Drosophila melanogaster: one gene and its partners. The protein of the gene in region 2 interacts with the protein of the main gene of each other region in a pairwise test. Each region holds a gene or a part of one and is shown on either strand. Other genes may lie near its edges.

Evidence for each region.
Region 1: the proteins of Trpml (region 2) and snama interact in a two-hybrid assay, tested with the Drosophila melanogaster proteins (one large-scale study listed by BioGRID).
Region 3: the proteins of Trpml (region 2) and Vajk3 interact in a two-hybrid assay, tested with the Drosophila melanogaster proteins (one large-scale study listed by BioGRID).

What each region holds. Positions count from the first base shown.
Region 1 is NT_033778.4:24,084,813-24,093,662, reverse strand, and holds snama (something that sticks like glue), read right to left. Parts: upstream 7,060-8,850; 5' UTR 6,961-7,059; exon of another isoform or gene 6,833-6,960; intron 6,132-6,832; 5' UTR 6,113-6,131; coding exon 5,947-6,112; intron 5,888-5,946; coding exon 5,653-5,887; intron 5,599-5,652; coding exon 5,120-5,598; intron 5,060-5,119; coding exon 4,785-5,059; intron 4,722-4,784; coding exon 4,396-4,721; coding exon of another isoform or gene 4,392-4,395; exon of another isoform or gene 4,151-4,391; intron 4,108-4,150; coding exon 3,958-4,107; intron 3,898-3,957; coding exon 3,604-3,897; intron 3,542-3,603; coding exon 1,771-3,541; 3' UTR 1,649-1,770; downstream 1-1,648. Other genes in the region: gek (genghis khan), read left to right, coding at 1-386, 448-654, 719-904, 965-1,058, 1,125-1,321, 1,401-1,501; CG16786 (uncharacterized protein), read right to left, coding at 7,661-8,731, 8,844-8,850.
Region 2 is NT_037436.4:19,713,456-19,720,729, forward strand, and holds Trpml (transient receptor potential cation channel, mucolipin), read right to left. Parts: upstream 4,874-7,274; 5' UTR 4,614-4,873; coding exon 4,245-4,613; intron 3,544-4,244; coding exon 2,693-3,543; intron 2,553-2,692; coding exon 1,814-2,552; 3' UTR 963-1,813; downstream 1-962. Other genes in the region: CG42637 (uncharacterized protein), read right to left, coding at 6,989-7,274.
Region 3 is NT_033779.5:13,944,256-13,949,157, forward strand, and holds Vajk3 (Vajk3), read right to left. Parts: upstream 3,222-4,902; 5' UTR 3,143-3,221; intron 2,873-3,142; 5' UTR 2,846-2,872; coding exon 2,834-2,845; intron 1,796-2,833; coding exon 974-1,795; 3' UTR 501-973; downstream 1-500.

The DNA of each region.
Region 1 (8,850 bases), on a different chromosome or scaffold from region 2:
GTACATTGAAGAGGAGCAGATCCTCGTCATTCTCTGCGGAAAGCAGCGCAACTTGCGTTTATTACCTATAAGGGCATTAGAGGCTAGTGATGTCGAGTGGATCAAGGTGGTCGAATCGAAGAACTGCATATCTGCTTGCACTGGAATAATCCGCCGCTTCCCCAATATCGTTTACTCATTTATCATCGCTCTAAAGCGGCCGAATAACCACACACAAATCGTAGTTTACGAAATCAATAGAACGCGCACAAGACACCAGAAGACTTGCGAATTCACAATTGGCTACATGGCGCAGCACCTGCAGATTCTGTCCGACATGCGATTGGTTGTGGCTCACCAAAGCGGATTTACCGCATACTTTCTGCGCGGAGAAGCAACTGCAATGTGTGAGTAGTAATAGATGACGTTTTCTGAGAGTCTTTATAACGTCTTCGTATCTTTCATTAGCTTTGGTTCATCCGGAGAACCAGTTATGTGCATTTTTGAACTACTCCGGAGTGGATGCGGTCAGGGTCATTGAAATTCTGTGCCCCAGCGGCGGCAATTTCGGGGAGTACTTACTGGTGTTCCAGACTCTGGCCATATACGTAGACCTGCAAGGGCGAAAGTCTCGGGATAGGGAAATTATGTATCCAGCCTTCCCTACGTATATAAGTGAGTAAAAAACGAGATGCGGTTATGACTCATGATGTATAACTCTTTTGTGGACTCATTCCAGCCTTTTGTGATGGTCACTTGCTGGTGTTTTCGGATACACATTTGGATATATTCAATACGCAGACTGCCGAATGGGTGCAGTCGATTGGATTGAAGCAATCACTTCCCTTAAACAATTTGGGAAACGTGGTGCTGTCCTCAGTCAATGACACTCCGCTGATTGTTTACCTATCCAATATTCACACAAGTAAGCTAAATCATTCACGTCTGTTTATCAGGGCCATTAAACCACATGCTTTATTTGCAGAGGGCCTTTTGCAATACCGTGACGGAAATCGAAAGGGACTTCCGAGCATAAAGCGGAGATTCTCTATCAGGGAGATAAACAAGACCATCAAAAGGTTGGGCTTCAGTTAACCTATTGGCGCAATCGATTCGAGTCCTCATTATTCGCTTTTTATTTGTAGTGATCGTAGATCAAAGATGATATCAGCACCGACTAATTTCAACCACATTTCTCACATGGGGCCAGGGGATGGCATTCAAAATCAACGACTCCTAGACTTACCAACCACGCTCGAAACAGCCGATCAAGCCTGCAGTCCAATAATACATTCGCTGAGTTGCATACCCCAGAGTAGAAAATCCAATTTTCTAGAACAAGGCAAGCAGCATTTAATGCACAGCACAGACTAGTCGGAGTTTTCCTAATGCATATATATATTATTATTCTGTGCTTTTAGTGGATGCAAACTCCGATGACTATGGCAATGACAACATTATCTCCAGAACGCCCAGTCCAATGGCATCGTCCTTCATGGACGGCTTAAGCAATAATGATTAACTTCAGTCAATCTCTACACGTGTAATTTAATCGATTTTTTAAGATAACTGTTTGTAATAAACATATTTAATTTCTCGAATATCAATCCACCGTCTTCTAACTCGGCGGGCAATCGAAAGTTAGATCGATCACAAGCAAGCAATCCTTGAGTAGTTCTGTTTTATTTGTATACTTATAGTTGCATGATAAATACATACATTAAAAATCTTTGATTTGTACACATTAATCTTCAATATTTATATCATTCTTATCTCGTAGCCTACCGTAACCTACTTCTTTGATTTTTTCTTCTTCTTCAAAATCTTGCTCTTCTTTTTGCTCTTCGGATCCTTGCGCTTCTCGCTCTTCAACGAATCGGTTGACGAATATTTTGAATGTTTCTTCAGCTTCTTATCCCTCTGCTTCCTGTGCTCCATGCCGTTGTCCGAGGACGCGCCCTCCTTCTGTATCGTGTTATCATATTTTACAACTAAGCTGCTCGACGAACTGGTGTCGACGAACTTGCGGAACGGGTTGTCTGGACGACAGGGTTTGGGAGGAGCAACCACGGCTGTTACAGAGGAGACCACTCGGCTGTCGCTGGACTTGGTGTTTTTGGCCGCCCTCCGATCCGAGTCGTCGCTATTGTTTTGATCATGCTTTCCGTGCTTGGATTCGGACTGTTCCTTGTTCTGGCGCCTCAGCTTGTCGTCCTCCGGCGAGCTTCGCTTGTACGAACGCTCCTGCCTCTTCTCTGAAGGCGCCGCCCTGTCGCGGGATCTGTTGTCCCTCTTCCGGCTGCCATGACGATCCGACCTGCCGCGGTTCGCATCGTCGTCGGAGCTCCTTGCGGCCCGGCGCCTGCCCTTCGACTTGTCTCGCGAACGGCTTCTATCATTGGAAATCTTGGTGCCCAGCCTATCCTTTACCGACCTGCTGCTGTTGTTACGCCTGGGTGAGGAGGAGCGATCCTTGTCACTTCGAACTACGGAGCGGTCCTTGCTGTTGTCCTTGGAATTGATAATAACTTGAAACTCCATAGGCCTGATGGCATTAATAGCCTTTGCAAATATTGCGTTCTCAGCCTTTCGCAGGACGTCTGAAGTTATTTCCGACGGATCGTCGGAGGCCCCGGCAGCTTTTTTGGAGGAATCCTCCAAACCTAAGATATTCTCGTCGATTTCCCATTTGGATAGATTGACAGAATTAGCCTCGCTGAGTTTGCTTCTTGGGCCAAGATTATCGTCGCTAGCAGCACCCACAGTAAGGATGGAATGACTCTTCGGATTAACGTTTTCAGTAGCGTTGTGAGTAGGGGAAAGTTGAGCCGCATTGATCTCAATGCTGGGACTTTGAGCCCTGGGAGACAATACTTTATAATTTGACTCGTTCATTAGTGAGCTGTTGTTAATATCCGAGTCAGATCGATTAACTGAGGAGCTCTTCTTCTGGCGATCCCCTTTCTCCTTCTTAGCGCGCTTGTCCTTCTTGTTTTTCTTGCGCTCAGCCTTGTCCTTGTCCTTCTTCTTCTTCTTGCGATCTTTTGACAACGGACTCTTGGCCTTGTTCTCCTTGCCCACATTGGTCTCCATTTCCGTGTCGTTGATGACGGGCTGGGAGGCCATAATTCTGGCCTTCGCGGTCAGATAATCGTCGTGACTCTTTTCCGGCGTCTTCGGTGAACTTTCGCGTTGCCTCAACTGGGCAGCAGTCATTTTCGGTGTGGTGATCTTTGCTGGTGGAGTCAGGCTCCTGTAGTTGCTGTCATTCGGCTTCGGTTCCTTGCTAATGCTGCGAGACCTGTGCCTCTTTCGTGGCGCCTCTTCGTGCCTGTTTTCCCCTCTCTTCTTGCTGCTATCACCCTTGCTGCTTTGTGATGCTTCCGAACTGGTCGGGTGCTTGTTCCTGTAGCCGTCTTCATCCGTCAGCTGCAACGGCTCGAATCCGGGGGGAGGAGGCTCAACTGCCTCCGTTTTGGGAGCACTAGGCTTGTTGTACGGCTTGTCTCTGTAATCACTCTTGTAGCCCGGCTTTGGAGATGCAGAGCGACGATGTCCAGATCTAAAAAGCAGAGAGTAGACCATGAATGTAAGCACATGGAAAAGGGCTGGTGGTAAAACTACCTTTTGATTCTGCCACCTGGGGACTTAGAGCCATCATTCGGCTGGCGACTAGAACGAGGGTGGCGTATATGCCGTTCGTAGCTATGTTCTCGCTTCCTTTCCCGGGATCGCGGTCTTTTGTCCTTGAGATTATCCCTGGAGTTGTCCTTTTCGTACATGGGAGACTTAAAGCGGTGCCTTTGTCTATCCGGGGACCTTGACCTGTGGCGGTCAGAGCTTCGAAAGCGGTCCACCTTCTTCCGCTCCTTCTCCTTCATGATGCGATTGAAGGCCTCCAACGGATCGTCAATGGGACTGCAAAACATTGGGATTACTTGTCATCCCACGCTTCTACAACGCCCTAAAGATACTCACCCGGAACCGACCTTCGCTGCCACCCCTTGGTATATCGAGGCTAAATTTGGGGACTGAAATGGTTGTGACATATTCATATTCATACCTCCGCCTGCAGATCCGTACGGCGCACGCATTGGGTGTACGGATTGGTTTTGATACGGCACATAGCTGAAATTTTAGAAGTTAATTACAATTCAAAAAGCTTAACGTTGATTGTAAGCAATACTGTTTTAATTAGGAATAACCAATATTCAACAAAGCATAAAGGCGCAGAGCCCAGAGCTTAAATTACTCTTAACTAGTGTGTGTGTATAGTCTCTGTTGGAACTTAAAAATATTGAGATCAGGCAGGACCGGCTGCGTATGGACTCGTCAACACCTCGGAGTTCCAGTGGCCTCGACACTTGACTCGATCCACATGGTAGCGGGATCCGGACGGGTGGAAAAGAAACCTACCTGAGGGGAGGCCTCTGTCCCATGTTGTTAAACCCGTTGTTGTAGGCTGGCATGTGGTGACTCATCATGTGCATAGGAGGTGGGCCCCGCTGCATTTGCATATAAGGGGGCTTATAGGCACTCGATCGACGAGCTTCTTCTGATTCGGCCATCATGTGGCCCTGGTAGCTAGGCAGGGTGCCAATGGGCAAGGGCAGGAGACTGCGATCCTTGTTAACAGACTCCGATTTTGATGGACGTTGGTGCTTGTGATCGTGATCGGAAACATAATCCGACCTGTCCCGTCGATGAGAGGATTCACTTCTGTGGGAATAACTGGGGGATCTCTGAAACATTAAGGCAATAATTATGTATCTATGTTGCAGATGTGTCAAATATGTATGTCTCACTTTGCTGGGCACTGTTGTAGAATCAGCTGCAGGCTGGGGCATTTTTATGGTAATGTTATCCTCGTAGTCTGAATCATATTTATCTTTCTCCTTCTGTGATGGTTCTGTGGTTGCGGGAGGCTCTGGAGATTCCGATTTTGGCGGATTACTGCCATTGGTTTCGGATTCTTTTTGCTTTTCAGGTTTCACCTCAGTCTCTTCGGGTTCCACCTCCGCGACTGGCTTTTTCTCCACTTCTTTTTCAACAGGAGGTTTTTCCTCATTTTTTACTGCAGCTAAAAAGAGAAATTCGATTCATTTGCATTAAGCGATGCAAACGAGTATAATGAACTTACCTGGCTTAGCCGCGCTTTTGTTATACCCAGTCTCATTTTTAAAGGCGTTCACCGAATTCCTCAAGAACCGATTAGGTATCAGGGAGCCAGGCGAACAGTTCTTCTCCTTGCAATCGGGGCACTCACTATCCTCTGACTCCAATAAGGAGGTTCGCACACAGTCGTCACAAAAGGAACTTCCGCAGCAGGGTATCATGACAGCATCGACGAATATATCTCGGCATATGCCGCATATCAGATCCTCCGGTATCTCTTGGTTTTGTACAGCAGGCAGCACAAAATCGGCTGATTCGTTCTCAGCCGCATCTGGCTTGTCGCGGAAAGACCGCGGAATACCAGTATTCCGTTTGACCTCTTGCTGGTCCTTTCCCCCCACAAAGGGACAGTTTTTGATCCAGTGTCCGCTTTTCTTGCATTTGTTGCATCGGTAGGATGCGGGAACTTCTCCCACTTGCGATTGTCCTTTAATACGATGGTACCTAAACAGAAAATACATTAGATAGGTGGTTTTGTAACAATTTAAAACCACATACGTCTTAGGATCATAGTCGACTGTGCTCTGCATCATCATGGCCTGGATTTTGTCCTCCTCCGTGCCTTGCATTTTGGACAGGTCCATGTTGAAGTTGTCCTGCTTGGCAGGCGCCGCCGAAAAGGCATTTTCTGCTGCTGGTGGCTCCCAGCCCTTTTTTGTGGGATGGGCGATGGGGATGCGCGATATGATCAGCGTTGTGTTTTTGGGAATAAGGAACCCATCGTCCTTGTATTCTGGAAAAGGGAAGGAAGCCATGTAGCAGGGGAAAAATTCTAAATTGCGGTGGACATACCTTCTTTACTCTGCGCATTTGTTATTTGGAGATCAAAGTCGATGATTTTGCCCAGTCGCTTCTGCTGCACAATCTCCCTTTTTAAGTCCCCGACAGAAATGTGAAGTCCATCAAAAGTAATTGTATCAAAGTTGAGTGTACTCTTAAATTTATAGTGTACCGACATAGTTGCATATGAAAGAAATCTGCGAAGAAGAGATTAAATACGATTATCTTATAGTGTCCACGGCACTTGCGTTATCAGAGTCAAAGCAGGGGGAATACATAATATGCTTCATAAATATCTTAATAAACAAACAGATAAAGCTGTTTAGATAATGTGTGTGACAATGCGCTGCAATCCTAAAAACATGATTAACACGTTTAAGTGGACAGTCTAAAACTGAAACTATGCATATAGTCGATTAGTGGGAAACATGATATTGCATCAAATCTTAAGAGATCACTAAAATAAGCTACTAAGCAGTAGCAAGCCATGCAGGTTCAGAAATCATTCTTGATTGCTTCGGGATAAGATGGAAGTGCGAACTTAATCATTGGTGCTGTGCTATATATTACGGCGGATGGGCAATTTTCTAATAAATACGATCTCATTGGCCCTTTACCAAAGTATGCCGAATATAGATTCCCGATTTGCACCATGCACTTCCCTTGAACAGCGGATAATTATGCCAACATAAGACATTACATATGTATGTATGCGAAGTTGCACAATTCCGGGAACATGCTATATGCATATGCGTATGTGCCACCTAAAATCCGGTCAGATCAATGGGCATTCTGTGAACGATATTTGCATTTCGCATTTTTTGCACCTTTGCATGGCAGCAGCATAGAATTGCATGTGCATAAAAATACACACGCGAAAACATACATATGTACGTACACTTCGGGTTTCTTGGGTCGTTCGGACTTAAACCGCACTTGAATTGCGCTGAGGATTGCAAGGCATCACAGTTCACGCGCGTTGTTTACTACCGGCAAGCAGCTGGCACAAAAATAGCAATTACTTACACTACTCTGCAAGCACATAAAAACTCCGACGATTTTATTTTTTTCCAATTTACTAGAGATGCGAACGTGACGCCAAAGCCCCAGAGATGTGAAATGCGAACGCACACGCGGGTATCGATAGAGACACAGATATCGATATCGATGTTGGAGTGTAATTTATATTACAAAGTGAAAGTATTGAACTTTATTAGATAATGTTGATAAGTGTTGTAACGGAAAGCATTTGGTAAATGTGCATAGCTGGGAATCGATTTCTATATATTGTTTGCAAAGGCAGCAATTCTGCATTTCTGTCGGTTCTCTTCCGCGTGAAACGGTGGAATGGAACACAGTGTATAACTATTAGTATCGATCATTTGAAGAATCAAATAACTCTTAAGCTGCAGTAAATACGGAATGAAAAACTAATTTAGGGAATAAAAGGGTTCAAAAATTTATTAACATCAGTTAAACCGAACTACAACCATATTTTGCTTATCTTAGATCCAAAAAATTCGATGCAATCCTAATTTAGTCTTAACTCGAGTATTTACATTAACAACTTTTGCGACAAAGTGCACATACAATATAATAAAATCTACTGCTTTTTGTATCACCGCCTTTTCGATATTTGCACGTGTTCTTAAATATAATACAGGATTCCTAATTACAAAGAAGTAATGGGGTTAGACACTCTCGCTTGCGTAGATGCTCCTAAAAACTAGCCAACATAGGCGAATGGATTGTAAGGAGGCGGAAAGTAGTTGGGGAAGGATTGGCCTGGCTGGCCGGGAATGGTGGCGGTTATTAATCTAGTGACAGCTGTGGGAACGACAGAGGTTGAGAAGATGGTGGTGTAGGCGGTCCTCGCGCCAAAGGTCAGCTTTAGAACCTTGGAGCTCGTTTCCGTTACCATGGACTGCTGGACCTCGGTGGATGTGATGAACTGTTGCGGGGCAATGGGCAAGAGTGGGTTGAAGGGATTGAATGGGTTGATCGAGAAGGGATACTGCGAGGATGGCGTTGGCATGGAAATCGTGGCGACATCAGTGACGTATTCCGTCTTCTCCACCACACCCACGGACTTGGAGAGGGTTCTCATGATGGTCTCGGTGCCTCTGACAAGCGGCACCACATGGGACTCCCAGATGGTCTCGAGCTTGATCACGGGTCGCGTGGAAGTTATCAAGCTGTTTTGCAGCGTTTCCGGGAAGCTAATCGATTCCGGGAGCAGAGGGTTTATCGGGCTAGTTACATTACTCTTGGCCTCAACTTTGAGTTTTGGTTTAATCTTTGCGTCGAATTTGCCCGTATTATCTTCATCTCCGAACTCGAGGTCCAGGTTGATTTCCGACCCAGCCTCGTCCAAACTTCCTTCGAAGTCCTTGAAGTTCTTTGAGGGATTGAAGTCGTCGCTCAAGGGGGAAATGGTCTGTGTTACAGTGATGAGACTGGTGTAATCGTACGTCTGAACTAGGGTAACTTGGATGGTCTCGTTCCTTTTTGCGTACACAACTGGGAGGATCTGGGTCTTCAGCTTGGTGTGCGTTATGGAAAAGGACTCCGTTATGGTCTCCAGGCTGGGGGTCTCGGTCTCCTCGCCCAGATAGATGGGCTTCAAGGTCGTAACGCTGCCTGTTAAGGTCTTATCATCGGTGCTGGCGGTGGCCTCCAAAATGTTCTCCGTCAGCGGGCCATCGTCTTCGGAGTACTCCTTGGTGTGCTCCTCCTGGATCACCTTCTCAATGGTTGAGGTGACGGTCAGGAAGCGCGTTTTCTTAACCACGCCAGCCTGAAAACAAATGAATGCCATTAATGGGGCTTATGGGCGTGGGAACTTCAGACAAAGAAACTTATAGTCTCATAGTTTCAAAATGGAAAAAAAGACACAACAACATCATTACCTGGAAT
Region 2 (7,274 bases):
AACAAACTTGAAGAAAGATACATCTTCGATTATTTTTTATAATTTGACTGCTAAGTAGTTCCTCTGCGTCGTCTGGCCGTTCCAATTTAAAAGCAGTTTTTTACCCGCAGCGACCTTGATCATTTTAAAGCCAAATTAAAGCCATTTATGGCCCACAGAGCGGTACGTCGTGGCTCGACGACTGCCAGCTGACAGAGAGGCGTCTAAAGGCGTGACGAACTGCCACCAACTTGAGCGTTTTATTCAGCTTTTTTTCCAGTTTCTTTCTGATTTCTAGTGGCTCCAACTCTAAAGTGTGCCAAAGTGCTTTGCGGATCGGCGAGGGACCTTTCTGAATTGTCATTGTCTATTTTTGCCACTCTTGACATTTGCATAGAGGAATAAGGCTAGACTGCCAACTGGCCAGGCTGGTGCCACTCGGCTCGAATTTCCAATTAAGATTAAGTAAAATAAGTCTTTGGCTTGGACGGTTTCCGCTTCAACGAAGACGCACAGCATCTGCCTGATGAAATTTACGTCAATTGGAGAACCAGTTTTCCATTTCATTAAAATTTGCTCATCTCGTTTCGGCGAATTCTTGCAAAACATTCAATGAAATTCACGCTTAAAACCGCAAAAATTTAACATCGGCCAAATTATTAAATGTCCAATTACTGTGAAACCATTTATTCCTTTCCCTTTTATTGGGTTTTCTTTTCTTGCAATGCAATTATCCGATTGTAGAAATGTTTCGCTTGGTTTCTTGACACTTATTATGTTGACTGTTTTGGATGTATCCTTACCACAAAATAATTTAACGATTGTCTTCCTGGTCAAAACATTAAAACATTGCGCCACCTACATCTGAAGATAAAAGTAGACTTCATTGTTCCTCGTTTTGGTTAAGCTCACAATTAATTATTTTTGTTGTACACATTTTTGTTGCATATCGTTGTAATAAATTTTGGTTCAAAGTGCAATTTGTTCAATTCAATCGTTCTATAAACAGTTTATTGTGTTTGTGGTTTTTGGTTATAAATACAAAGTTTTCATTGTACACATAAAATATAGTTACCTAATGTTTCCTTATCTATGGCTTCTGAAATTGACACAAGTCGACAAAAATCGATGTTGTGTTATGCCGAACTAAACACTTTCTAAAATAACTATTTGCTTAGACTGCCAAAAATCTCATTTTGTCGACCAGTGCAGTTTTATACAATTTTTTGCTGTGACTTTCAGATTTCTATGAAAACTCGATTCGGATGCATTCGTTTTCATGGAAGATCTTGACCAGGCCCATGTCGATATCGCTAACAAAAATAGCTCCCTCTAATATAATTTCCATTGTTCTCCGATTCTGGTTCCACATTATATCACACACTTAATATCTCGCGTTACAAAAACAAATTTGCGACTTTGTGGTTTCCCAGCGTACAGCGTTGCTTGGTGCCCTTTCTTAGTCATTTTTCGGATTTTACTTTCGCAGAAATGACACAAATTCGCCTTACATTTAGTTTTTCCTTTTGGTCTTATACATTTTGTAATTTTTGTATTGAAGAAAAATGAATTTCAGTCAGAATTATATTTCTGCAAACCGAATTAAAGCCATTGCTGCGAAAGATAAAATCGGAACATGCCCGCTGTTTGTGATCAGAGCAGCTGCTTTTGGAATTTCTCATAGGTACGTACGTTATGGTTTCTCTTATCTCGGTTCAAGTGCTTTGGCAAATTAACAAACTAATACAAAAAGCTAACAACAAGTTTGACTACACACATAAAGCTGACAAAACAAAACAAAATGAAGACCTGCGGGTCGACATAGCGCACCCAGTTACTTCATAATACTAGAAAGGCTGGTGTAACCACTGTTGGGCTGGGCGGGCTCCTGATGCCGACCGCACCGTCCACAGCAGCAAATGCTCTTCACCACGTCAAGGAAGCTCGTCTGGTCGAAGTCGTCCAGGTCGGTCATGAAGACACCAGAACTAATGTCCTCTGCAGTGCGCGTTCCGACAAATGCCTTGAGATCGGTGGTGGGAAAGCCATCCTTGTAATACGCCTTTATCGTGTCGTAGGCATCCATTATGACGGCAATGAACAGCGACAGGACCACATAAATGTACAAGGATATGAACGAGTACAAGTAGATCTGGCAGAACCACCACAGCCAGGTGGCCTTGCTGGAAAGCGTGGCAAAGGTGGCGAACATATCATCACCGTTTATCAGCGCAAACAAGCACTCTGACGTTGTAGCCAGCGATCGGAACTTCATGTGATAGGGTCCCAAGATCAGCCAGCCGCAAAACACAAATCCAGCATAGATCAGCAAGGCGGCGATAAGGAAGCGCAGAATCTTTGGTGCCGCCTTTTTCAGCGTCAGTATCACAACGTTGTAGGTTTTGAAGAAGCCGAGGTAGCGCAGCACTCCGAACCAAACAAGCAGGTTGCCAATTCCCAGAAAAAGCGAGCAGGTATCCCATTGGTCCACCACCAAGTACCTTCCCTCGATTTGCTCTTTTAGAGCTGATCCAATGATCAAAAGGACGTCATTGAAAATGATCATGATGTACCTGCGAAAGCAAAACGGTTTATTATAGTCTGCAACCTTTCTGATAATTTTTGGGTTTACGTCGGCCTAACCTTCAGCATTATGGGTAATACTTGTTGCCAATATAGCCGAGGTTTTTATAACACAAAACAAAGGACTCACCAAAAGTTAACGAATTCCAGTCGGCCGTCAAAGCTCAGCTCCTTGCCGAATTGCGAACGGAAAAAGTTGACAGTTGTACATCTCAGCAGATATGCTCTCCACAGAGCCCTTGTACAGAGTGCAAAGGATAGTGCGCATGTTAGTAGGACGAATATATTAAGTACGCTTCGCAGCATGGAATCGAAATTGGCGTCTGATATGAAGTCCGTTGCTCCGTGGCACTTCAGCCGCGTCGCCTCCGCATCCAGTGAGAGCAGCATTTGCCCGTCATGGTCTCGGTTGTTAAACGTTATGGAAATGTCAAACCGAAAACAATCAGGAGCAGAAAGAGGTCCACCATTTGCCTTGAAATTAACCGTCTTTATCTTGAACGTCAACTGTGCGGAGACAAGAGATGCAAAATTGACCTCCACATCGCGCTGCCTGAGGTAATTCTCCACCCCAATGGTGGTTACGTTCGGAGGTAGTCGCTCACACACCTCGTCGATATGTGGATCGAAAATGTAGGACTCATTAAAGCCAAATATGGTGCCCTCTCTATAGTTCTGCAGGCAAAGCTTTAGTGGCGGCATTGTGTTATTGGGCGTCGGGTAGTCGTATGGTCCAATAGATCGGCTTACATTCGCGTAGCCATTGACTGCATACTGCACAGTGTCGAAGAACTCCGATTTGAGGTATAGAGCAAAGGGACCCACAGCAGGCGGATAACTCTCCACCTCCCGGGAAGAATCCCAGCCGCGCAGGAATAGATGTGAGAAGGCAAATCGGTTATCACCCGTGTAGTTGATGTGGTTATACCGCGAGTGGGCAAAAAGGCACAATTGCATCGTCACCAGAAAGATTTTTACAATCTAAGAGAAAAATTCTTGAGTTGCTAAGAAATGTTTATAGTATAACTTTTAAAGTTTCTATTTGCCTTTTGGCCTCAGGGGACGGACCTTTTCTTGGTCGCCAGTTCAGAGATCTAGAGGCTGGGCTATAAATAGAAGCCGAATTATGTTAGAGCATGCGTCAGACTATATTTATTGGGTATCTACAGGAAATCTAATTTAGTTGTAGACCTTAGAGACTAAGTGTAGACTTAAAGACTAGTCATAACATTTTCGCATTAATCATTAAAAATCGCACAAAAGAAATCCCCCTGACCACGATGTTTATCGCATATTAAATAACTTTTTGGGTTCTACAAAAGCGTCCACACGCAGTTTCTAGCCATAAAATTCTTGAATTTTCACTTTGTTTATTACGTATTGTGCTAACAATAGTTGGACCTATCAGATAAGGCATCGATAAGAGTGGAGGGGCTTAACAATGCAAGCAAAGTAATCAAGACTGTGTTGACTCTACCCCATTTTACATGCTCGAAATCTAGACAAACATTGAAGATCGGAGACGGCTGTTTAAAGGCGTCTGTAAATTAAGAGAAATGCCTAAATAAGTGGTTCAGATGTGTCACCCGAGTTCCGCCCCCAAACGCCGCGCATCACACGACTTCAATTAACTAGCATTCATCCAGATGTGAACTGCAAATGAAACCCGGATGTGAACTCACCTGCACAACGAACTTGTACGGAAATTTCCGCTTGGCCTGCCATTTCTCAATGGGGTTCATAAAGAAGAACTGAAGCTTCCTGCGCATTCGCTCCTCCTGGTAAGATGCAGCCGAGGATCCGGGGAATTCGGGCTGCTCCTCGCGGCCATCCACGGAGGGTGGGGCAGTGCCACTACCGGCGGATATGGGCATGGGCACCACCGGGGCCACCGGAGTGGACTGCAGCTGCACTTGGCGCCGCAGTATCCTGGTGTTCACGTACTCCTCGTCGCTCTCCGGCGACTGCTGCTGTTGCTGGGCAGCCTCGTAGCTGTCCGTGCGGCGCTTGACGGCCGGAGCTGTCTGGGCTCCGGGGCCGTAGCTCTGCATCTCGATGTGCTCCTCCTTCGTTGCGAGGTCAAGTCACCTGCGTTGTTGTTCTCCGTGCTAACTTTCTTTTGCCCGCCCAGTCGACATGCAAAAGAAGAATCCGCACAGGCGCAACAAGCAATCGGGGGAGGGGAGGTAAATATGTGTTCTTTTGCAATTAATACGCGACTTTTGCCAGCGAATTTATATTAAATACTGGCCAAAAGACCACGAAAATTGCTTTGTTTTCAATAGGTTTAAACGATTACAGATGTTTATTCGATATAATCGACTGTTCCAAATAGAGTTCAGCATCGATAGTTGCTTGCAATCATCGATTATTTAAATCGCGCGCCTTTTCATCGGTAGTCAAAATTCAAGTGCAGCACGGTGAAACATGAAACATGGAGAACTTTCCTATTTATTTATTTTTTTCCGTTATTTGGAGGTGAATTCCAAAAAAAATTAAATAATGTTAAGAAAGAAAAGATCTAACTATCTATGTACGAGTTCAGTTTATAGAACTCAGCTCTAAATATCGAAAAAATAATTAATTAAAAACTTCCCCGTATTCCAAATTCCGCCGTTCCTCTAACGCAGCTAACTCATCGACGCTACATGGACGTACATTCAAAATTATATTGAGGTCCATCCATTTATTATTCTTTTATGTTCAAGAAATATGACTATTTCCTTTTTTTATATTTTTGAATTTATGAGAAATCAACTTTATTTTGCGGTCTTGAAAACTGCTACCTCATTTTTGACATTGTATTTTACATTAAACATACGTACGTACTTACATATGTCAACATCTGTCACTAATGCTTAGTTATCTTATTAAATTGAAGTTAAAAAATAAACTAAAAGCGTAAAATAATACATAATCATTTGGAGCAAATATAATACTCACAGGAAAAAACAAATGTTTTCTTTCTGCCCAAGAAGAACTCTTGATAAAACCCACGAAGTCTTCCCATACGTTTCACTGTTCCCAGTGCATAAACATTTCAAAAGGAGTTCCAATAAACTAAAAGCGTAAAATAATACATAATCATTTGGAGCAAATATAATACTCACAGGAAAAAACAAATGTTTTCTTTCTGCCCAAGAAGAACTCTTGATAAAACCCACGAAGTCTTCCCATACGTTTCACTGTTCCCAGTGCATAAACATTTCAAAAGGAGTTCCAATGAATCGATGGCTTTAGTTGCAAGAACTTACAGAGATCTTATCGTGAGATCACACTTACAGTGATCTCTTATATGCTTAACATGTTTTTTTGTATTCACCACGACTTCAGAAATGTTTGTCGAAACACAAAACACAACTGTTCCCAGTGCTCGGAATATTTTAAAAATGTTTCTTTTAGAAGAAGTGTTCTCCAAGTTTCTAGTCTTTCCCGCAGGATTCACCCTCGTATCTACCATCTATTGAACATTTTGCACCATTTAAGCATATCTGGACAAACACACTTTTAATAGTTTCTCGTTTGTATTTATATATGGCAAATTTAACAAATTTTCATTTAAAAATATACATACATACATACATACAGCTAAAACACCTCTCATCGGGCGCATTTTCGCTCTTCTCTGCTCACAATTCGCGTTCAATTAATTATAATTATTATTTTAGCTTTAGAGACTTAAATATTACGTACAATCACACGCACTTAACTACGTACTAGCAAAACACATTGATACATTACATTTTTCACGCTCGTTTTGATTTTCAAATACATAAATTAACTAGTTTCTGTTTAAGCATAATTTGTTTGCTGCTGCGCATCGTGTATGGAAAGCAGAAAATTTCGATTACATTTACATAAAATATTTGATTTTGATTCTCCATCGTCGTATAAATATGTGTGTCGTTGTGTTTATGTGTTACATTTACAAACGTACATTTAGATGTGTGGGTGTGTGTTTATTTTATATAAAACAATAACTAGTCTGAAGACCTTGTGACTAGACGGTTTTTTCGGCTTCTCTAATATGTATGTATGTAGAGTTATAAAATATATGCTATGTATGATTTTCGCTTCAGCTTCTGCTCGCTTCTACTTCGGGATCGCAGGATTTTCCTCGAAAACGAATAAAAATAGTTTGGAAACCCATAGGACACATATGTAGAGTCCCGCAATGCCAGAGCGATCAAAGAGTTAAGAACCGGCTGGTATATGTTTATAGGTGGATGACTTCCAACACAGACACACAATTCGTTCGATCCATACAAACTACAATACATAAAACAAAGAAGTAAGCCAAAAGACGATCGTTTCCTGCTCGACTCGGTTCCTGAGTAACTTTTCCATCTCTCTCATCCGGCTATTTAGCTCATCCTGGTCATCCTGCTCCTTCTTCCTTAGTTTCTACACTGCCTTCTCCTTATCTCTATACTATACTCTCACGATCGCGGGCTGCTGCCGATGCCGCCATATCCGTGAATCCGGTTCGTGCGCCGTGCACACCGCTGGGCAGGATTCCTACTCGCCTAGCCTCACCGCTACGCACGCCGTTGCCCTTGAAGATGTTAGTCATCCAGTTAGTCAGCTTACTCCCACCAGCCGCTTTGGATCTATGATGCTGATTGGAGGAACCGCTGAAGAAGTCCAGATCTCCGGGGTGGCGGTTATCAATATCGGCGGCATAGCTAACGCTATTTCCGCCATGCCCACCG
Region 3 (4,902 bases), on a different chromosome or scaffold from region 2:
TCATGTCATCTCAGCTGACTGACTGGTGAGAGGATTTTCGGGTTTAAGGATCAGGAAGGCGTCAAGACATCTGTTTTTATTGTGACTGAGTATTATTGATTTATTACAACTTAAGCTGTACTTAATTACAGGTATGCATAATTCGCATCTCTTGGCTTGAAATAATTACTGGTATCCTACTTGTTACCTTGCAAGATTAAAGGGTCTTCGTATAACTTTTTATTAAAGTGATCGGAACATAAAGTTTTTGAACCATTCCGTCTATTTAATAAATATTATTAGAGAGCTGTAAATATTCCAGAAAATGATCCTCAAAAAGTCTAGTAAAAATACATTTTTTAAATATTATTTATGTTGAGTAGCCACCAAATCAAAAACGACAGCTGTTTAATAACAACATACTCTTTATTTACAAAATATATTTACAAGATATACAATTACAAAGAACCCTATGACAAACTATTTCCAGCAGCTAACCAGTGATAAAGACAGTGAAATTTATTTTATACATTTTATTTTATTTGTCCTTAATAGATTTTCACATAGATATTTCTGTTCTTATTATCCATTCAATTCATTGTGCGCCGAAACCTTTCACTGATAAACTTGGCCAGCTAAACTGTTCATAAATGGCGAAATTTACAAACAGTTAGCTGGTATTTATCCTAAACCTGGAGTTCTTGGCCCAGCACAATGGCTTCCATTGGATGGCTGGATTGGAAATAATTTACAAAAGGCATTGCTTGTTTCATCTTGGGGGTTCTTATCAGCTACAGAGAGTGTGGCAGGGCGGAAGTTTGACTTCCAGGGGGTATTTTAAGAGTTTGCTTCTGCGCTCGGTTTTGGAAAGGAAGGCCGACAGGTGGAGAGAGTGGGGAAGATAATTGAAAATGTTGCTAGATATCCTTCGGCTCATTTCCATTAAGTCCGCTCGCTCCAATAGATTCGCCTGCTTCCGGTCCATTCCGTCCGCTTACTTGTGGTAACCATGGTGGTCGGAGTAGACGGTGGCATCGTGGCCAATGGCGCTAACAGGGTAGCTGCTGACGGCAACGGTGGGTGCGTGCTTGACCACGGAGTGGGACACCACGGGCACCTTCACGTAGACGGGGTAGGGACGATCCACATGCACGGGCACCTGGACATTGACGGCCTTCTCCACGTAGACAGGGTAGGGCTTGGCCACTGGCACGGGGTAGGGCCTGGGCACCTCAACGGGCACTGGGCGATCGACGGGCACATGGACGGGCACCTTCTCGTGACGGATCACTTCGTAGGGCTGGGGCACTGGCACGGGCACCTTGACGTACTCCTTAACGGTCACGGGCACCTTGCGGATGACTTCGTAGGGCTGGGGCACGGGCACCTTAACTTCGACGGGCACGCGCTTCTCATGGACGACGGGATAGGGGCGGTCCACATGCACGGGCACTGGGATTCCCTTGGTGATGGTGATGGTCTTGTGCACATCGGCCTGCTTGCTGATCACATAGGGGGCGGGAGCGTGGTGGACAGCGACGGCGGGAGCAGTGTGTCCAACGGCGATCGCGGGACCACTGTGGCCCACGGCGACGGCAGCGGGTGCGGAGTATCCGGTCAGTCCGTAGCCATGTCCGTAGCTTCCGTGGCCGGAGATGGAACCATGTCCCAGGTAGCCGGTGTCCAGACCAGCATGACCGTAGCCGTAGCCCAGATCGAGCAGGCCGCGCTTGTCCAGCTTCTTCTCCAGCGGCACCTTCTCACCCTCGGTTTTGCTGGCGCAGGCGGAGGCCACCAGCAGAGCGGCTAAGCAGATCTGCAAAGAATTGAGTTGGTGCGATTGGTTATGAAACTATGCATTTTAGAGACTTTTAAATAATAATAATATATTAATTTTCTAGCAAAATTCTAGATATTTGTGATTTCTTAATAGTTTATTTCACAATAACTAAGTTAGTAAGTAGAACTTGATTCCTTGCAAATATAGTTTAAATCTATTTCAAAATGAAATGAAATAAAATTTAGTCATACTATCTTCGAATTCTCAACTGTGCAAACTCATCTATCATGAAATTCGTATAGTCTATTCTTTAAGTATTTGAAGCTTCTCTATGATAAAACAATTCAAGATATGCAACCTACATAAATTGCCTAACGAAAACGTTGACTTTTATCACCCATTGCCTAGTTTGATCGATTACCTAATCGCAATAGAAAGCGAAGGCGATAGGCGATATGTGGCCCGATTCGCATTGTGTCGTCCGTTGTCTCATCGCCCTCTTTCGCGATTCAAATGGTCAAGTGAAATTTGTGCGTGCCTGGCATAAATGATGCAGTGCAGTCATCGCCCACTGCCACGCCCAGTTTCCGCAATACGCCTCAACCGACTGGCGTCACGTTACGCATACGCAGTGGGCAACTCAGCGAATGCATTTGGAGCTGGCTTTAATTGAGCACATGAACCCAGTTGATTACGGCCTGGTAATAAACGTGGCTGGCACTCCAATTATGATCGTTCAGTTAATAAACGCTTATTAGCCATGTCGTTCAAGTTGAATTTGGTCGTTTGCGAGCATTTCACCTTTGATTAAGGAAATTTATCGGATTGAATTGTTTCAGGAAGTTGTTTGTTGTTGAAGATGGCCAGGTAAACAATGTGAGGCATTTGCAATGCAAAAGGCTATATTGTTCCAATTAGTTCATGTCAGCATTGTTCTGTATGCAATTCTTTGAATTATTACTTGATTTCTCACACTAAAATATGCTACCAACAGCGATAGTTCACATACTCGTACCCATTTACATATCAAACTAAATTCTATATGTCTAATTACTATATGTCTGTTGTACTTACGAATACTTTCATTGTGGAGTCTAATGGGACTTGCCAAGGCTGTAAGTAAACAAAGAAAACAATAAGATTATTTATACGAAATGCAGCATAGATATTTTTTTTTTTATAAGATCAGCACTTTAATTGGTATTAACAATCTGTTCTTTGGGAAAATGTTCCTTGGAAAATTGAAGTTATTTAGAGCACACGGCTCGCACAGTTATTAGTTTATAACTTTTAGATCACAGCTTAAACTTTATTTCCGTTTCACATAGACTACACGCATTTTAGAAACAAACAAAAATTAACTTGGCATTTGGCTTCACTTACAAGCAACTCAGTAACAGCGAAATAGACTGTGGAAGGATTGTAGAATCACTAGCGATTCCAAACCTTTGACTGGATGCTGTCTGTGGTCAGTGGCGCGCTTTTATACCCCCAAAGAGTTTTTGTGTCAAAACGAAACTGAAAACACCGCCAAACCAAGTCGCTCAGCGGTTTCCAAAAGCTTTTCCCACCACAAACCAGCCTAATTGCTCTCTTCAAAGCTCTGAGTTCGGCTTGGTTTGCGCTTGTATTGGTTATATTTGTGTGTATTAGTGCGGCACGGAAAGTTGCAAGCGGAAGCGCTCACCAATACACTGGCATGCCACCAATACTCACGCAATTGCGGCTTTTCTCTGTGTGTATTGGTGACTTTAGCCGCCAACTTGAAAGTGGCTTATAAAATATGGGTGCAAATGTGATCAAATCAATTTGGGAACATAAAAAGCAAATAAAATAAATTAACTAAATCTTGAATTGAAATTTATATTGGGAAAATCCCGCAGAACGTACTAGCAATCCTTTCTTGTTTTTTTTTTGTTTTATTTGGATAAAAAGTCTTCGGGCTTCTTAGCAAGTTGTTCCCAAAAATATAGATTTCAACGAAAGGTCATATGTCTATCAAAGTCGTTATGTTTTGTTTGTCAAGTTTCAGAAGTCAGCAGTTTTGGTCGAACCTGATTCCTAATATCAATAATTCTGAGTCTACCTAATGGAAATTCAACTAGATTTTGTTTTGATTCCATTAATTAAAAAAAAAAAAAAACTTGCTTATTAGTATCATATTTATACGTTCGGCTCGCATTTTAAACAAAGGGTCTATAAATCTGGAATTGTTCAAAGGGGTAATCTGGTTTTAATCTTGTATAATTTCAATATAAAATTTATTTCGAAACATTTTGTGGCCCAATAAACAAAAGTGTAACAAAGCAATTTCTTTCATTTGAGTTTAATAAATCTCAAATTCACTTAGCAGATCTAATATCGTAGAACTTGATTTAACGGTAACTTGATTTATAACTTAATTAATGTTTCTTATAATTTTGTATGCATTTGGCGAACCGAATGTTTTCCGGATTTTAGTATTTAATTTTTAACCGGATTCAGATCTTTTAAAAATGGCAATTAATTACATTAAACTTTGATTTTGTAATTGATATTGTAGTAAGCAACATTTATCAAAGTTCACTGTACTTGTAACCAGTTACTTGCTTTATATCAGTATACATTGTTGCAAGATAGTAATTTGAGTGTGATGTCTCAATTTCTATTGCTGTCATAATTAGGCTTTCTGGTTTTCTTGCCACCTTTGGGGTACTCGGGTTACCATTTTGCACTTCCTGCAACAACCAGGTAAAAACGGAAGCTGCCTCTCTGGAATTTCTCGGCATCTTTGATGTCATTGACAATGGTTTAGTGATCACCGGGCGGAAAAAATAGATACTATCTGCGATTGGGGGTGGTGAAAAGTGATGCAACAGATGCGGTGCATAACCGTGGGCTGCGAATCTCAAGTTTCGCACTCGAAATCGATTATCGGAACGCTGGGTGTGGGATTGTGGAGTGGAATACCAACGGGGATTGCAAATGGATCTGTGACTGGAACAGTGACTGGATCGGGTGCCATGCGTGAGATCTGCACTGTGGCGTAAAAGTGAAAGGCCTTTATGGGTCGCCGTTGCAGTAGCGGCATTAGATGCTTGTGCATTTGCACAAAATCAGATTATATATCAGCCAGGCTGAGTCCGTGATTTGGCAATTGCCAG